2 linked regions of the Stegostoma tigrinum genome follow. The protein of the gene in region 1 interacts with the protein of each later gene in a biochemical or structural test. Links are inferred from orthologs where the notes say so. Each region holds a gene or a part of one and is shown on either strand. Other genes may lie near its edges.

Region 1 (7,521 bases):
CAACAGATATAAGTGAACCTGATTCTTGATTGTCTTAGTCACTCCCAGCTCTCGCTGTACTATTTCAATAATAGCTAACATCCACCTTCACAATCAAACTCCATGACTGCCAAGTTAAGAAGACCTAAACTCTTCATTTCAAGTCACTATCTATCACACATTGTCTCTGTATCTGAGATAATGGGAACTGCAGATGCTGGAGAATCCAAGATAATAAAATGTGAGGCTGGATGAACACAGCAGGCTAAGCAACATCTCAGGAGCACAAAAGCTGACGTTTCGGGCCTAGACCCTTCATCAGAGAGGGGGATGGGGTGAGGGTTCTGGAATAAATAGGGAGAAAGGGGGAGGCGGACCAAAGATGGAGAGAAAAGAAGATAGGTGGAGAGAGTATAGGTGGGGAGGTAGGGAGGGGATAGGTCAGTCCAGGGAAGACGGACAGGTCAAGGAGGTGGGATGAGGTTAGTAGGTAGATGGGGGTGCGGTTGGGGTGGGAGGAAGGGATAGGTGAGAGGAAGAACAGGTTAGGGAGGCAGAGACAGGTTGGACTGGTTTTGGGATGCAGTGGATGGAGGGGAAGAGCTGGACTGGTTGTGTGGCGCAGTGGGGGGAGGGGACGAACTGGGCTGGTTTAGGCATACAGTTGAGGAAGGGGAGATTTTGAAACTGGTGACGTTCACATTGATACCATTAGGCTGCAGGGTTCCCCGGCCCACAGTGATCGAGAACGCCCTTGACCGCGTCTCCCGCATTTCCTGCAACACATCCCTCACACCCCGCCCCCACCACAACTGCCCAAAGAGGATCCCCCTCGTTCTCACACACCACCCCACCAACCTCCAGATACAACGCATCATCCTCCGACACTTCCGCCATCTACAAACCGACCCCACCACCCAAGACATTTTTCCATCCCCACCCCTGTCTGCTTTCCAGAGAGACCACTCTCTCCGTGACTCCCTTGTTCGCTCCACACTGCCCTCCAACCCCACCACACACGGCACCTTCCCCTGCAACCGCAGGAAATGCTACACTTGCCCCCACACCTCCCCCCTCACCCCCATCCCAGGCCCCAAGATGACATTCCACATTAAGCAGAGGTTCACCTGCACATCTGCCAATGTGGTATACTGCATCCACTGTACCCGGTGTGGCTTCCTCTACATTGGGGAAACCAAGCGGAGGCTTGGAGACCGCTTTGCAGAACACCTCCGCTCAGTTTGCAACAAACTACTGCATCTCCCAGTCGCAAACCATTTCCACTCCTCCTACCATTCTTTAGATGACATGTCCATCATGGGCCTCCTGCAGTGCCACAATGATGCCACCCGTAGGTTGCAGGAACAGCAACTCATATTCCGCCTGGGAACCCTGAAGCCTAATGGTATCAATGTGGACTTCACCAGTTTCAAAATCTCCCCTTCCCCAACTGCATCCCTAAACCAGCCCAGTTCGCCCCCTCCCCCCACTGAACCACACAACCAGCCCAGCTCTTCCCCCTCCACCCACTGCATCCCAAAACCAGTCCAACCTGTCTCTGCCTCACTAACCTGTTCTTCCTTTCACCCATCCCTTCCTCCCACCCCAAGCCGCACCCCCATCTACCTACTAACCTCATCCCACCTCCTTGACCTGTCCGTCTTCCCTGGACTGACCTATCCCCTCCCTACCTCCCCACCTATACTCTCTCCACCTATCTTCTTTTCTCTCCATCTTTGGTCCGCCTCCCCCTCTCTCCCTATTTATTCCAGAACCCTCACCCCGTCCCCCTCTCTGAAGGGTCTAGGCCCGAAACGTCAGCTTTTGTGCTCCTGAGATGCTGCTCGGCCTGCTGTGTTCATCCAGCCTCACATTTTATTATCTTGTCTCTGTATCTATTCCTTTTATCCATTACTTCCATGCCAAAAACAGACACATAATGAACATTAATAGTTCTAACAATGTGACTATTTGGAAAGCTGTCTTCGTTTTCATCCACCAACTTCCCAGTCGTACACTTACTCCTCTTCCAATTCTTCGTCATGCTGTAGTTTGTAGTTTCTCTTCCAGCTGTTCTTCAACACTCACAGACTCAACTAATCAGATATCCACTTCCGCAACTCTTGACTTTCTCCTCATCCAAGTTCTTGATTATGTTTCTTTGCCATAATGTTCAACAACATTGTCAACTATTTGCTTTGTCTTTTTTTTTCAAAGCCATTGTCATCACTGTCCTCTCCAAAATCTAATCCATTTTCAGTTAGAATTTATCCACCAATATTTTCTTTCCCCTGTAATTCTTTGAACATGCCATTGTCACCCAGGTCTATGGAATGTTGTCTCATTTGTGTGCCTCAGTGTCTTCATCTTTCAATATGCTGACAAAGCCTGTTCAGATTCAAATCAGTAGTCACATGTGATCATGACTTAGTATCACTCTGACCTATCTTGATGTGAGACATGGTGTACTATGCTGTTCTCCTCAAATGTTATTTCTCCTAATATTACTTTACAGAATCACTAACTTTACACAGCAACGTCAATATATCACAGTGAAGACTACTCAATTCATGCCCACACATTAATCATGAACAAGGGGCTGCCTTTCTCTCCTTGTGTATATGCTGGGTCTCAACAACATTATCAATGAACAGCAGTTAGCTTAAATAAGTCCATTGACAATACCCAAGGCAACTTCTTATTACCACCTTCAACTCCACATTGACAAACTGGTTTCTTGCTATAGTTCATGGATGAACAGTAAATTCTTCAGCTAGTGTAAGATTAAAATGAATCCCATTTTATTTGGGTCGCAGCAAAAATACTGATTATTACCTCTAAAACTGCCTTCTTACTCTTAATTCAATGATATAAAATATTCCATTCAATCCTTAGCTGAGCTGTAAGATTCATCTCCAAAATTGCTCAGTTCAGGATCCACAATATCACCTACTTGAGATCACCGCTGCATTAAAGTCCGTGCTTATTTACAAACCCAACTTTTTCTTGTCTTCACACCATCCACTTGAACCTACAGGAGTCAAAGCGCAAGCAGTGAAAAAAAATCCTGAATTCTGCTCTACACTAAGTCTCATTTGTCTATTATTTACATCCTGACAAAGAAGAAGGTGCTGGGGAAGCTGAAAGGTCTCTAAGTGGGTGAGTTAATTGGACCAGATGGGACGACACCACAGAGTTTCGGAAGAGATAGCTGAGGAGATTGTGGAGGCAATGGTGGTGATCTCTCAGGAATCAATGGAGTCAGAGAAGGTCACGAGGACTAAAATAGTTAATATAAGACTCCTATTTCAGAAGGGAGGAAGACAGATGACAGAAATTTAAAGGCCAGTTAGCCTGATCTCAGTTGTTAGTAAGATTAAGGATGAGACTGTAGAGTACTTGGAAATGCATGGTAAAATACAGTTGAGTAGGCAGAGCTTCATCAAGGGGAGGACATGCCCAACAAATCTATCAGAATTCTTTGAGAAGCAAGTTTTTTTTAAAGGACAGCCAGTGCACATGATTGATTTGGGTTTCCAGAAGGCCTATGGTAAGATGCTGTACAAGAGGCTGCTAAATAAGATCAGGGTGCATAGTGTTAGTGGCAAGGCATTGGCATGGATAGAGGACTGGCTGATTGGCAAAAGGCAGAAAATGGGGATGAAGGGGTCTTTTCTCAGGATGACAGCCAGTGACTAGTGGAGTTCTGCAAGGATCCGTGTTGAGTACACAACTATTCATGTTATGTATTAACAATTTGGATGAAGGAACTGAGAACGCTGTTGCTAATTTTATAGACAAGACTAAGACGGGTGGAGGCACAATAGAGATAATGGGAACTGCAGATGCTGGAGAATTCCAAGATAATAAAATGTGAGGCTGGATGAACACAGCAGGCCAAGCAGCATCTCAGGAGCACAAAAGCTGCCGTTTCGGGCCTAGACCCTTCATCAGAGAGGGGGATGGGGAGAGGGAACTGGAATAAATAGGGAGAGAGGGAGAGGCGGACCGAAGATGGAGAGTAAAGAAGATAGGTGGAGAGAGTATAGGTGGGGAGGTAGGGAGGGGATAGGTCAGTCCAGGGAAGACGGACAGGTCAAGGAGGTGGGATGAGGTTAGTAGGTAGATGGGGGTGCGGCTTGTGGTGGGAGGGAGGGATGGGTGAGAGGAAGGACCGGTTAGGGAGGCAGAGACAGGTTGGACTGGTTTTGGGATGCAGTGGGTGGGGGGGAAGAGCTGGGCTGGTTGTGTGGTTCAGTGGGGGGAGGGGGCGAACTGGGCTGGTTTAGGGATGCAGTTGGGGAAGGGGATATTTTGAAACTGGTGAAGTCCACATTGATACCATTAGGCTGCAGGGTTCCCAGGCGGAATATGAGTTGCTGTTCCTGCAACCTTCGGGTGGCATCATTGTGGCAGTGCAGGAGGCCCATGATGGACATGTCATCTAAAGAATGGGAGGGAGAGTGGAAATGGTTTGCGACTGGGAGATGCAGTTGTTTGTTGCGAACTGAGCGGAGGTGTTCTGCAAAGCGGTCTCCAAGCCTCCGCTTGGTTTCCCCAATGTACAGGAAGCCACACCGGGTACAGTGGATGCAGTATACCACATTGGCAGATGTGCAGGTGAACCTCTGCTTAATGTGGAATGTCATCTTGGGGCCTGGGATGGGGGTGAGGGAGGAGGTGTGGGGGCAAGTGTAGCATTTCCTGCGGTTGCAGGGGAAGGTGCCGTGTGTGGTGGGGTTGGAGGGCAGTGTGGAGTGAACAAGGGAGTCACGGAGAGAGTGGTCTCTCCGGAAAGCAGACAGGGGTGGGGATGGAAAAACTGACCTATCCCCTCCCTACCTCCCCACCTATACTCTCTCCACCTATCTTCTTTACTCTCCATCTTCGGTCCGCCTCCCCCTCTCTCCCTATTTATTCCAGTTCCCTCTCCCATCCCCCAACGGGTGGAGGGACAGGTAGTTTTGAGGAAGGGGGGAGGCTGCTGAAGGACTTGGACATGCCAGAAGAGTTGGCATAGAAGTGGCAGATGGAATACAATATGGGAAAGTGTGTAGGAAGAATGAGGCATAGGATATGTTCTAAATAGGGAAAGTCTTAGGAAATATGAAGCACAAAGGGACTTGGTAGTCCTAGTTTAGGATTTTCTTAAAGTTTACATACGGGTTTAGTTAACAGTCAGGAAGACAAATGCAATGTTAGCATTCAGTGCAGGAGGACCAGAATATTAGAATAGGGATGAACTGCTGAGCCTGTATAAGGCTTTAGTCAGGCTGTTTTTGGAATATTGTGAGAAATTTTGAATCCTGTATCTATGGAAGCACATGCTGACACTGGAGGGGTCCAGAGGAAGTATACAAGTATTATCTTGTTGATGAGGGTCTTGTCATATTGAGGACCCTCAATGGCATTGAAAAAGCTGAGGAGGTATCTTTTATTGAAGCTTACAGAATACTAAGAGGTCTGGGCAGAGTGGATGTCAGAAAGATGCTTCCACAAGTAGGAAAGGACCCAAAACCACAGCCTTGGAGTGAAGGGATAATACTTCAGCTAGATGTTGCTGAATCTGTGGAATTCATTGCTGCAAAAGGCTATGGAGGCCAATTAATTGAATACATTTAAGACAGAGATAGATAGGTTCTTGATTAGTAGGGGGATCAAGGGTTACAGGGAGAAGGCAGGAGAATGGGGTTGAGAAACATATCAGCCTTGAATCGAATGGTGGGGAAAACTTGAGGGGGCCAAATGGCTTAATTTTGCACCAATATCTTATGGTCGAATTATCTTATGGTTTTCTGCCTTAACTTCTCATTAGAATCCATATCCTCAGTTTTAAATTCCTGTACAGCCTCATTCCACCTTCTCTCTTAAACCTCTCTAGCTTTAATTGTCTGCGATGCTGTGATTCTGATCTACATACACCACCATCCAACTCCTTGCTATCAGTGTGAAATCCTTCAATTAACTCAGTTCTACTCTTTGCATCCCATGTCCAAGCACTCAAGATTTTTTGTGTGTTGAAAGCTCTCTTGTGTGTTTTGTTCTACAATTACTTTGCACCACTTTGAAGTTTTAATGGTTTAAACATAACATGTTGTGAAGCACACAGTGAAATGTTGCATCACTGTTTGTTTAAATTTCTCAAAATTTGACTCGGAATGAAAATGCAGGTAATGAAAAGGTTAGGGAGGGCAGTCAAGTGTACAGTGCTCCCCATGAAACTATCATTATCCTGTGTCTTGTTAGTCACGTTTTAAATGAACTGCACTAAGCTGAAGTATAAGATTGGTTTGTCATTGAATTAGTGCTTTGTAATTTATTTCCTGCAGATAATTGCAAATGAAATGCATTTAATGACGGTTAATTTGTGACTAAACCGCAGTTTATCACAGTAGGCAAAAAAAGTCACAAGTCACCCTCTGTTTTATGTACATTAATGTTTAAAGCAAATATTTTTATGATTACAATTACAATTTTAATCAAATCTTATAAGAGTGCATATGTTTTAATTATATTTTTATCAAATAACATGCTCATAACATTACAATTGCATTTTTCTCTGACAAAAATGTCTCCATTACGGGTAAGGATTATTGTGATTTACACTAAGTTATTTTACAGATTTAAAATCATGCATAATTTCAACTATTTCATTTCCCATTAAGAATACTTCTGTCGATTTGTACTTCTAAAACAGTATTGAATGTGTTGTCAAGATTTATTGAGAGTTCAAATGGAGACTAAAATGTTTGGGTTCGAGACTGCTGTCGACTTTTCTATGATAATAAATCCTTGAAAACCTAAACAATGATCAGAACATAAGCCTCCCATTCGAAATTTTACTTTTAGTTTACAGTTTTCGACTATTACAACACTTAACTCCTTTCAATTTATTATTATATAATTTTATTATTTAGCCATTGTAGGTAAATGTTCCATGCTGGTATTGCAGTTTTGTGAAACAATTACTTACAAATCTGAAATCATCACATAAAGCTAAATAGTCCTCTGATCAGGATACAACAAAGTATACTGGCTTCTATTCTGATCCTGATGCACAAATGAAGCATCTGAAGAGAAGCATCTAAACAAGAGGTTTGTTCCTGGTGTCAGTAAATGAGGGCTTATTTAGTTTTTTTTTAGAAAAGGGAAGTATTTCCTTCATCAACATTAGTGCAAATCTGGAGGCTATCACCTACCAGGTAGAATACAAAAGATTAACCCTGAGAACTACTTTAAAGTGAATGAAGCATCCAGTATATGTGACATAAGTTAAAAGAAATCTATTAATCAATACCAAGGCAACTATCATCATGCAAAACATGAGTACCACTTATTAGGCTGGTGGGGAAAAAATGTGGCATTTTGGACACATTAAATCCGTGGGATTTCAGTTGGGACTTATTTCAAAAAGCTTCCATCACCTGACATTCCACCTTCAATGTCTCTGACCAGTCAAAAACTTTTAATGTGCCAATTCCAGTATTTTTAACTCAGAATGTTTAAGTGTACAAAAATACTGATATGATTTTAATGAGTAAC
Region 2 (7,838 bases), on another chromosome or scaffold:
ATTTTGCCATTTCTTCTATCATACCCTAACCTCCCTTGCCCTCAAGTGTTCCTCTTGTTGCACTTGCTTCTCCCCACCCTTTTCTACAATATAAAAGTCACTTTTTCACTTCTCTCTCCAGTTTCAAAGAACTGAACTTTTATACTTGAAACATCAACACTTTTCTCTCTCCACAGATGCTGTCATACCAGAACGTCTGCAGCATTTGGTTTTCATTTTGTATTTCCAACATGTGCAGCATTTTAGCATTGTATGTAAAGCTGTGTCCAGTTCTAGACACCATATCTTAGGAAGGATATGTTGGCTTTGGACAAAGTGTACAGATTTACTAAAATAATACTTGAACTCCAAAGATACAATTATGACATATACAACTAGAGTTGTATTCTCTGGAAATTAATATAAGGTGTAATTTGATCAAATGTTTCAAGACAGAGTCTAAAACTTAGATCCAGGTCATTAGCTACACAAAAAAAATAACAAAGGGGTGGAATTTTACAGCAAATGGCAGCTGATGCATAAATTGTTAGGTTTAAAATGAAGATTGATAGATTTTGTTACACTTTTAGTTAGGTAGTAAATCAACAATCCCACTGAGAAGGAAAAGACTCAAGGAGTTAAATCATTCACTCCTTGAATATATCCCCTTGTCATCACTTCCTCTGACAGTTAGCTCCATACACACACCACCTTTTTGCATGAAAAGTTGCCTCTTAGATCCCTTTTAAAACCTTCCCCTCTCAATCATAGCTTTATGTGGAAGGAATTTTTAGAGCCTTTGATAAAGATGAGAAGTTAATGGGCAAGTGTGAGACTATTTGTGATTGCAGGGAAGGTGCCACGGATGGATTAGGGTGGAAGTAGGAGTGAACTATGGTGTCACAGAACGAACATTCACTTTGAATATTTGGTTGTGGTGTCATGCTGGACATAGCAGAAATAGTAAAGGTTGATCCCTTAAATATGGAGACATCTCAAGTTGTTTTCAGGGTATACAGCACCAGTTAAGAACTCAGTTTGACAGAGATCTAACATCAGAAACATGAATTCTTCCATTCTTTTCATAAACACCAGTCCCAATGTAGATAGTACAACGTGTTTCCAATACTGCACTTCATGTATTATCAAGCTCTTTCAGAAAAATTACATTCACGTTATCAGACCTGGTACAGATAAAACTCATTAAAGCCATTACATATAAGGGGAAAACAAGAATAGACCACTCAGCCCTTCTAGCCTCCTCTGCCATTCAATAAAATCATAGCCGATCTGATTTTAACCTCAACTCTACATTCCTGCATATCCATGGCAATTTTTCATCCCCTTAGTTACGAATAACCTACTTACCTCTGCCTTAAATATTAGAGATTCAGTTTCCACTACCTTCTGAGGAAAGGAATTTCAAAGACTCAACCCCCAGGCTTAAAAAAAAATTCCTCATCTCAGTTTTAAATGGGCACCTCATTTTTAAACCTTCATATATAACGCTACAGGACAAGAACAGTCCTTCAAGCCAAGATAATAAAATGTGAGGCTGGATGAACACAGCAGGCCCAGCAGCATCTCAGGAGCACAAAAGCTGATGTTTTGGGCCTAGACCCTTCATCAGAGAGGGGGATGGGGTGAGGGTTCTGGAATAAATAGGGAGAGAGGGGGAGGCGGACCGAAGATGGAGAGAAAAGATGATAGGTGGAGAGAGTATAGGTGGGGAGGTAGGGAGGGGATAGGTCAGTCCAGGGAAGACGGACAGGTCAAGGAGGTGGGATGAGGTTAGTAGGTAGATGGGGGTGTGGTTTGGGGTGGGAGGAAGGGATGGGTGAGAGGAAGAACAGGTTAGGGAGGCAGAGACAGGTTGGACTGGTTTTGGGATGCAGTGGGTGGAGGGGAAGAGCTGGGCTGGTTGTGTGGTGCAGTGGGGGGAGGGGACTTGTCTGCACCAACCATGGCAACATTCCAAACTAATCCCATTCACTTGCATATGGTCCATACCCCGTTATTCCCTGCCTGTACCTGTGTCTGTCTGAATGCCTCAAACATTGCTATCATATATGCTTCTACCGCCTGCCCTTGTTCCAGATTTTCCCACAAGAACCTTCATTTCTTCATCCACCCAGTTAAGTCCCCTCAGAATCTTAGATATTTAAATTGTCACTTTTGACTCTTCTAAACTTCCAGAGAATACAGGCCAAGCTTGTCTCGTCTTCCGTTAAAACAAAAAATCCATTCATTCCAAGCATGAGTCTAGTAAATCTTCTCTGATTTGCTTCCAACACATTAACGCCTTTCAAGAAGTAGAGTGGCCTGTATTCTATACAGTACCACAGACGTGGTCTCACCAATGCCCTGGATAACTGAAACAATCTCCCAATTTTCATTCAATTCCCCTCATAACAAAACGTAACATTCAAGTTTCCTAATTTGTTGTTTCATACTAACCTCCTGCAATTCGTGCACTAAGACACTCAGATCTCGGCACCCTCTGCCCATATAGACAATCTCGTGCTGTCAAAAATGGGCAACCTCACACTTTCTCGCATCGTATCTCATTCATCTCACTTCGATTACAACAAACTTGGACACGCATAGTTGTTGGCTTCAAATCTGAACCTCCCAATCGGACGCAAAATTGCTCACGTCCGATTATCCATTTCGTAAAGGTGACAGCAATATTCAACGAGGTCACGAATAACCGATAAACCATGAGGCAGAAGTTTACAGTTTAAAGAAGAAACAAAAGCACGGCGATAAACCGTCTGTCCCTCTTCTCCCTAACAATATGCATACATACAACATTCAATACAGGCACAGCGTCCTTGGACTGCATACGGGGTTAGGCTGAGATTATTAGTATCTCACTCTGTGGTTTCGGTCCTGTCGAGGCTGTGTGAGGGGGGCAGTTGTGCAGTATAATATTCCGCGGTAGGGAGCCGGCTTTTAGCAGCCCATAGCCAGCCAGCCAGCCAGCCGCCCGCCCACTCGGGAAAGGCCGACTCTGCGTCGCTCTGCTCCCTCTTCCTCCCCCATCAAAGCTCCGCAAAGCCCCGCTCACACCGGGGACACAATCGGCGACAAGGCAGACTCACTGGATCGGCTGTCACACTCACCCGCAAGCGGGAAAGAATAAGGAAAGCGACCCCGAGCTCCGCGACGCTCTCCGCCGAGCGAGCGCTACTCTACCGAACTATCCACTTCCGGGTCAAGGGGGTCATCCCGAACAACGAATCTGATGTCACAGGTCTGCTCGCAAAGGCCCTCTGGGCATTGTAGTTCCCTTTCCAGGGCCGTCTGCTCGAGAAACAAAGTGCTGCAGAAACTCAACAGATCTGGCAAGACATCTGTGCGGAGAGAGAGAGTTAATATCCTCGAATAATATCCTCTCTGGCACTGGTACCATCTATATGTGACTATCTGCGCTCTCAGGCAAGTGCTGGCAATCCAGAGATGCACTGCATGTTTTGTGGCATTTACAACTAGTTGCTCTCAATGGTGCACTTGTTGCGCAGTTTTCTTGGATTTCTCACCATGGCCCACAACGCACCAAGCCTTATAAGATTTTGCTCTGTGTCCCCACGCTGGAAATCTCGTTGTACTTGATGAGTACCCATGTGAGACCGAACATTACATAGTCCTGAAGTGGAATCTAATGAACCAGAGCATCATACTGGGGAAAATTAATGAAAGCTTGCATGGAAAATTACTAACAACTTTTTTTTAAAATTCCCATAAATGTTATCTACCACCTTAATCATGAAAAATTAATCATTAATAAGTTAATGATTTGAGAAAAGTGAAATTTGTGAATCCATAAATTTAGAACTAAAGTGCCAAATGAGTGATTGAGAACACTTTTTTTTTAAAAATTGGCAATTCAATCGTTTTTGTTTGTTTTGTAAAAGACAAGTATTCACAAAATATGTATTCACGAAGAGGTACATTTACTAAAGTTAGCTTCTCATTCCAGAAAGAAAAGTCTGCAGTAACTCTATTCTTTGAATCTAATTAGATCTGCCATGCTTGCAGGCAGTTTTACCTGTAAGATTCTGTTGAGTATCTATTCAAAGTTTTGAAATTATTTGCAATGAAGAAATTCTTTATATCTCTGAATTCTCATGTTTGTTATTTTAGACCTTGGGACTATGTCTTTCTTCTATGTTTTCTCTGGAAGTAATCCCACTAATCCAACTGTTCCACCGTTTTTTAAACACCTTATCTATTCATCAAACTCTTCAATGGTAAATAGCCCAGATATCTAGTTTCCACTTGTGCTCAATCTTCTGATATCAGGAATTAGTTGGTTACTTTTCTCGACTCTGGTTTTAGATTTTTGTAGAGCCTCGGTGTCCAAACTTGATTTAGTACTTCAGGTGTGACTGTACTACTCTACAGTTCCAAAAGAATATATCCCAATATTCAGTATTATATCTACTTTATTTCTGCTGTCCAGTGTGTTGGCGTGCTGAATGGTGAAGACATTTACAATTACAGCATTTAAAAGACATCTGGGTGGCTATGTGAATAAGCAAAGCTTTAGCTGGATATGGGCCAAATGCTGCAAATGGGACTAGGTCAGATTGGGATGTCTGACTGGCATGGACAAATTGGGCTAAATGGTCTGTTTCCATGCTGTCTGACTCCATGACTCTGTAGGTGCACTATTAGCCCAGGATGTGATATGACTTCATGACAGATGATCCAAAATAGATGACAATGGCACATAAGCTATAATGGTGACTGTGACACTAAAATTAATTGTTGTAAAAAAATCTTTGGGTTAACTGATATAAGTGAGGTAAGGAAATTAGCCATTCTTCTCTCGTCTGGTCTGCTTAATACTCCAGATCCAGGGCAATGTGGTTGACTCTTAACTGCCCTCTGAAATGGCCTAGCAAGCCACTCAGTTTACCAGTTATTGGAGTTGGGCAGTAAATGTCAGCCTGTGATCTCACTGGAAGAATAAATTTACAAAAACAGGAGACAATATGTAGATGTGTGACACATCCACGGCACTCTCCTGATTTATTGGATTTGTGAGGCAGTTGCATTGAAAACTGTTGGGACCAAATTAAGCATCATTCCACAGTTTGCAATGAAAGCTTGTCACAAAAATGCTGTTGCTTACAGTGGAACATGACTGTGCCAACATCGCACCCAATCCTTGCCAAGAAGAAAGAAGGGACCTGAAGAAGAAGAATATTATTTTTAATGGATTTGTTTACTAATTCAAATTTTGCCTGTTTTGCACCACTCTCCAGTCCCAGATTACAAATTTGCATTGGAAAGTCTTTGGAATGCTTTCAAAAGTATTGTTTTGTCCTCTACTGTCTTGTTAATGAACAATTTCCTCAAGTAAATGTGTAATTCTTTCCTAAAACCCTTTGAAGTTTGCCTTGTCTAGTTTCTCACTTTAGTTTTATGCATTAAGTCAGATCTTATCTAAAGATTCATGCTTTATATATACATGAAGACAGCAGTGTCAATAAGAAGCGAAACCTCCACACAGCATCCTACAGTTGTAGTGTGCATGCATTCTAAAGCTGTACTTGGCGTAGCTATCCCTTCGATAATGATGAATGTCAGTTTATATGAAATTTAATTACATTGTAGTCACTGTTCTCCATATTGTTCAAACACCACCATTCTTCAAATTATATCATGTTTAGTGATATCAAATCCAGCTTGAGAACAGCTTCCAGTAGTTTTACTGATTAATTTTGAAAAAACCATGCATTAGATTTACCAAATTAGAGTGTTTGAGTATTGCAATTCATATTAATTAGATAGAATTCTCCATTTGTTTAACCTTCATGTTTTTACATAAGCTGTTTATGTCTTAGAATCATAAAATCATACAGTTTGGAAGATGCCCATCAATCCATTGAGTCTGCACTGACAAAAAAAACCCTGAATATACACTCATTCCATTGTCCAGCACTTGGCCCATAGCAATGAATGTTATGATATTTCAAGTGTTCATCTAAGTACTTTATATCTTTAGCCAAAGTATGCAACACCCCACTTTTGTTCTGATTTGGTGATCTGCACTAAATTCTGAATATCTTTTATGCTCTTTTTGTAATATAATCATTTAGCCACACTTTCCATAAGAAGCACTTTATAACCTCTCATTTGTACCTGACATATAGAGATTAAAATTGCTTTTAGATTCAATTGCATAATTAAACTTTGATTTGTAGATGCTGATTAGGTTCCTAAAGATCAAATATCTTAATCCAAGAAATGAGTATTATTTGACATGAACAAAATAATTTGAAACAACATAAATGGATGTATTCAATGCATTCAAATATAACTCCTATCTCTTAAAAAAGGGTTATCACATGTTTGGTAGCCATGACCTCCGACCTGAGGATTTAATACGTGATTAACACACATCTGTTGATTGCGAGGCAGGTAGTGCACAAGCTTTGTGAATACATCTTCAATGCCAATTCCTACCAAACACTCCACTCACTTCAGACAGTCAGTAATTCACCACACCCTAATTACTCATCAATCAACGATCTCTATCATCAGAATTCATACCATGCATTCATATGCTACTTTGCACTATCACACACAACACTTTTGCAAAACACACAGTATCTCACAGCTTGCACACATTGTGAACCATTCATCCATGTCAGCCACATCAACCAAACAGATTACACAACTCATTGACACAATCCACTCAATTGCAGACAAAAATAGAAATTTCTGGAAAAGCTCAGCAGGTTTGGCAGCATCAGTGGAGAGAAATCAGTGTTAACTTTTCAGATCGAGTGACTCTTCCTCAGAACTTTATTACACTATAGTGCAGGACAAGGTGACACACAACCAGAGACAATAGCTCAATCGTTTATGTACACTAGTTAGAAATCCCATGTGACAATGGAATGATGGAAACTAACAGAACCAAGAGTTCAAAACTGGCCATTGATAAAACATTTTGAGCCAACAGCAGAAGTTGAATTGTATTCTTAATAATCTGTTACCTCAAGGTTTAGCATATCCCTCACTACCATTACCGTCAAACTGGGTGACTGACTTTAGATCAATCATGAGTGCAGGAAAGCATGCCAGAAAGAACGCCAAACATGCCAAAAAGTAAGGTGCCAACCTGCTGAATGTTGGCACAGTCATGTTCCAATGTAAGCAACAGCATTTTTGTGACAAGCTTTCATTGCAAACTGTGGAATGATGCTTAATTTGGTCCCAACAGTTTTCAATGCAACTGGCTCACAAATCCAATAAATCAGGAGAGTGCCAGATTTAATGGTTGTGAAACAGGAAAAGCATATTCCATAGACCAAGACAAAAATGTATACCACTCAAGTGTCAGACAGGGACCAGCTCCAACAAAGAAATATCTAATCGCCACTCCCTACCATTCGACAGCATTTGATCATTGGAGCTCAGGGCCATAAAACCAGCAGGAGAGATTGGGCGACTGCAGGAGTTCAGGCCTATAAAAACCAGGAACTATAAAGAGTGAGAGACTGGAGGAGATTGTGACCATAAAAACCAGGGGGAGAAAGAGCAAGTGATCAGATGGATTCAGGTCTTTAAAACCAGGGTGTGAAACAGGAAGTGATTGGAAGGGTTCAGATTATAAAAGGAGGAGTGATCAGTGGGGTAGGGGGTGTGAAGGAAGAAGTGATCAGAGAGATTCAGGGTGTAAAAGAGGGAGTGATCAGAGAGGTTCATGGTGTGAAAGAAGGAATGAGCAGTTGGGTAGAAGGTGTAAAAGAACAAGTGATCAGAGGTGTTTGGGGTGTGAAAGAGCAAGTAATCAGTGTGGCTTAGGGTGTGAAAGAGGGGGTGATCAGAGAAGTTCCGTT

The links. The genes of interacting proteins can lie anywhere in the genome.
Region 2: the proteins of sntg1 (region 1) and plekha1b form a complex in vitro, tested with the Homo sapiens proteins (2 studies listed by BioGRID and IntAct, with this or other methods). The link is inferred for Stegostoma tigrinum from reciprocal best matches to the Homo sapiens genes SNTG1 and PLEKHA1.

What each region holds. Positions count from the first base shown.
Region 1 is NC_081358.1:71,008,442-71,015,962, forward strand, and holds the start of sntg1 (gamma-1-syntrophin), read right to left. Parts: upstream 3,014-7,521; 5' UTR 2,933-3,013; intron 1-2,932. UniProt on the Homo sapiens protein: Adapter protein that binds to and probably organizes the subcellular localization of a variety of proteins. May link various receptors to the actin cytoskeleton and the dystrophin glycoprotein complex.
Region 2 is NC_081373.1:27,987,361-27,995,198, reverse strand, and holds the start of plekha1b (pleckstrin homology domain-containing family A member 1), read right to left. Parts: upstream 3,019-7,838; 5' UTR 2,857-3,018; intron 1-2,856. UniProt on the Homo sapiens protein: Binds specifically to phosphatidylinositol 3,4-diphosphate (PtdIns3,4P2), but not to other phosphoinositides. May recruit other proteins to the plasma membrane.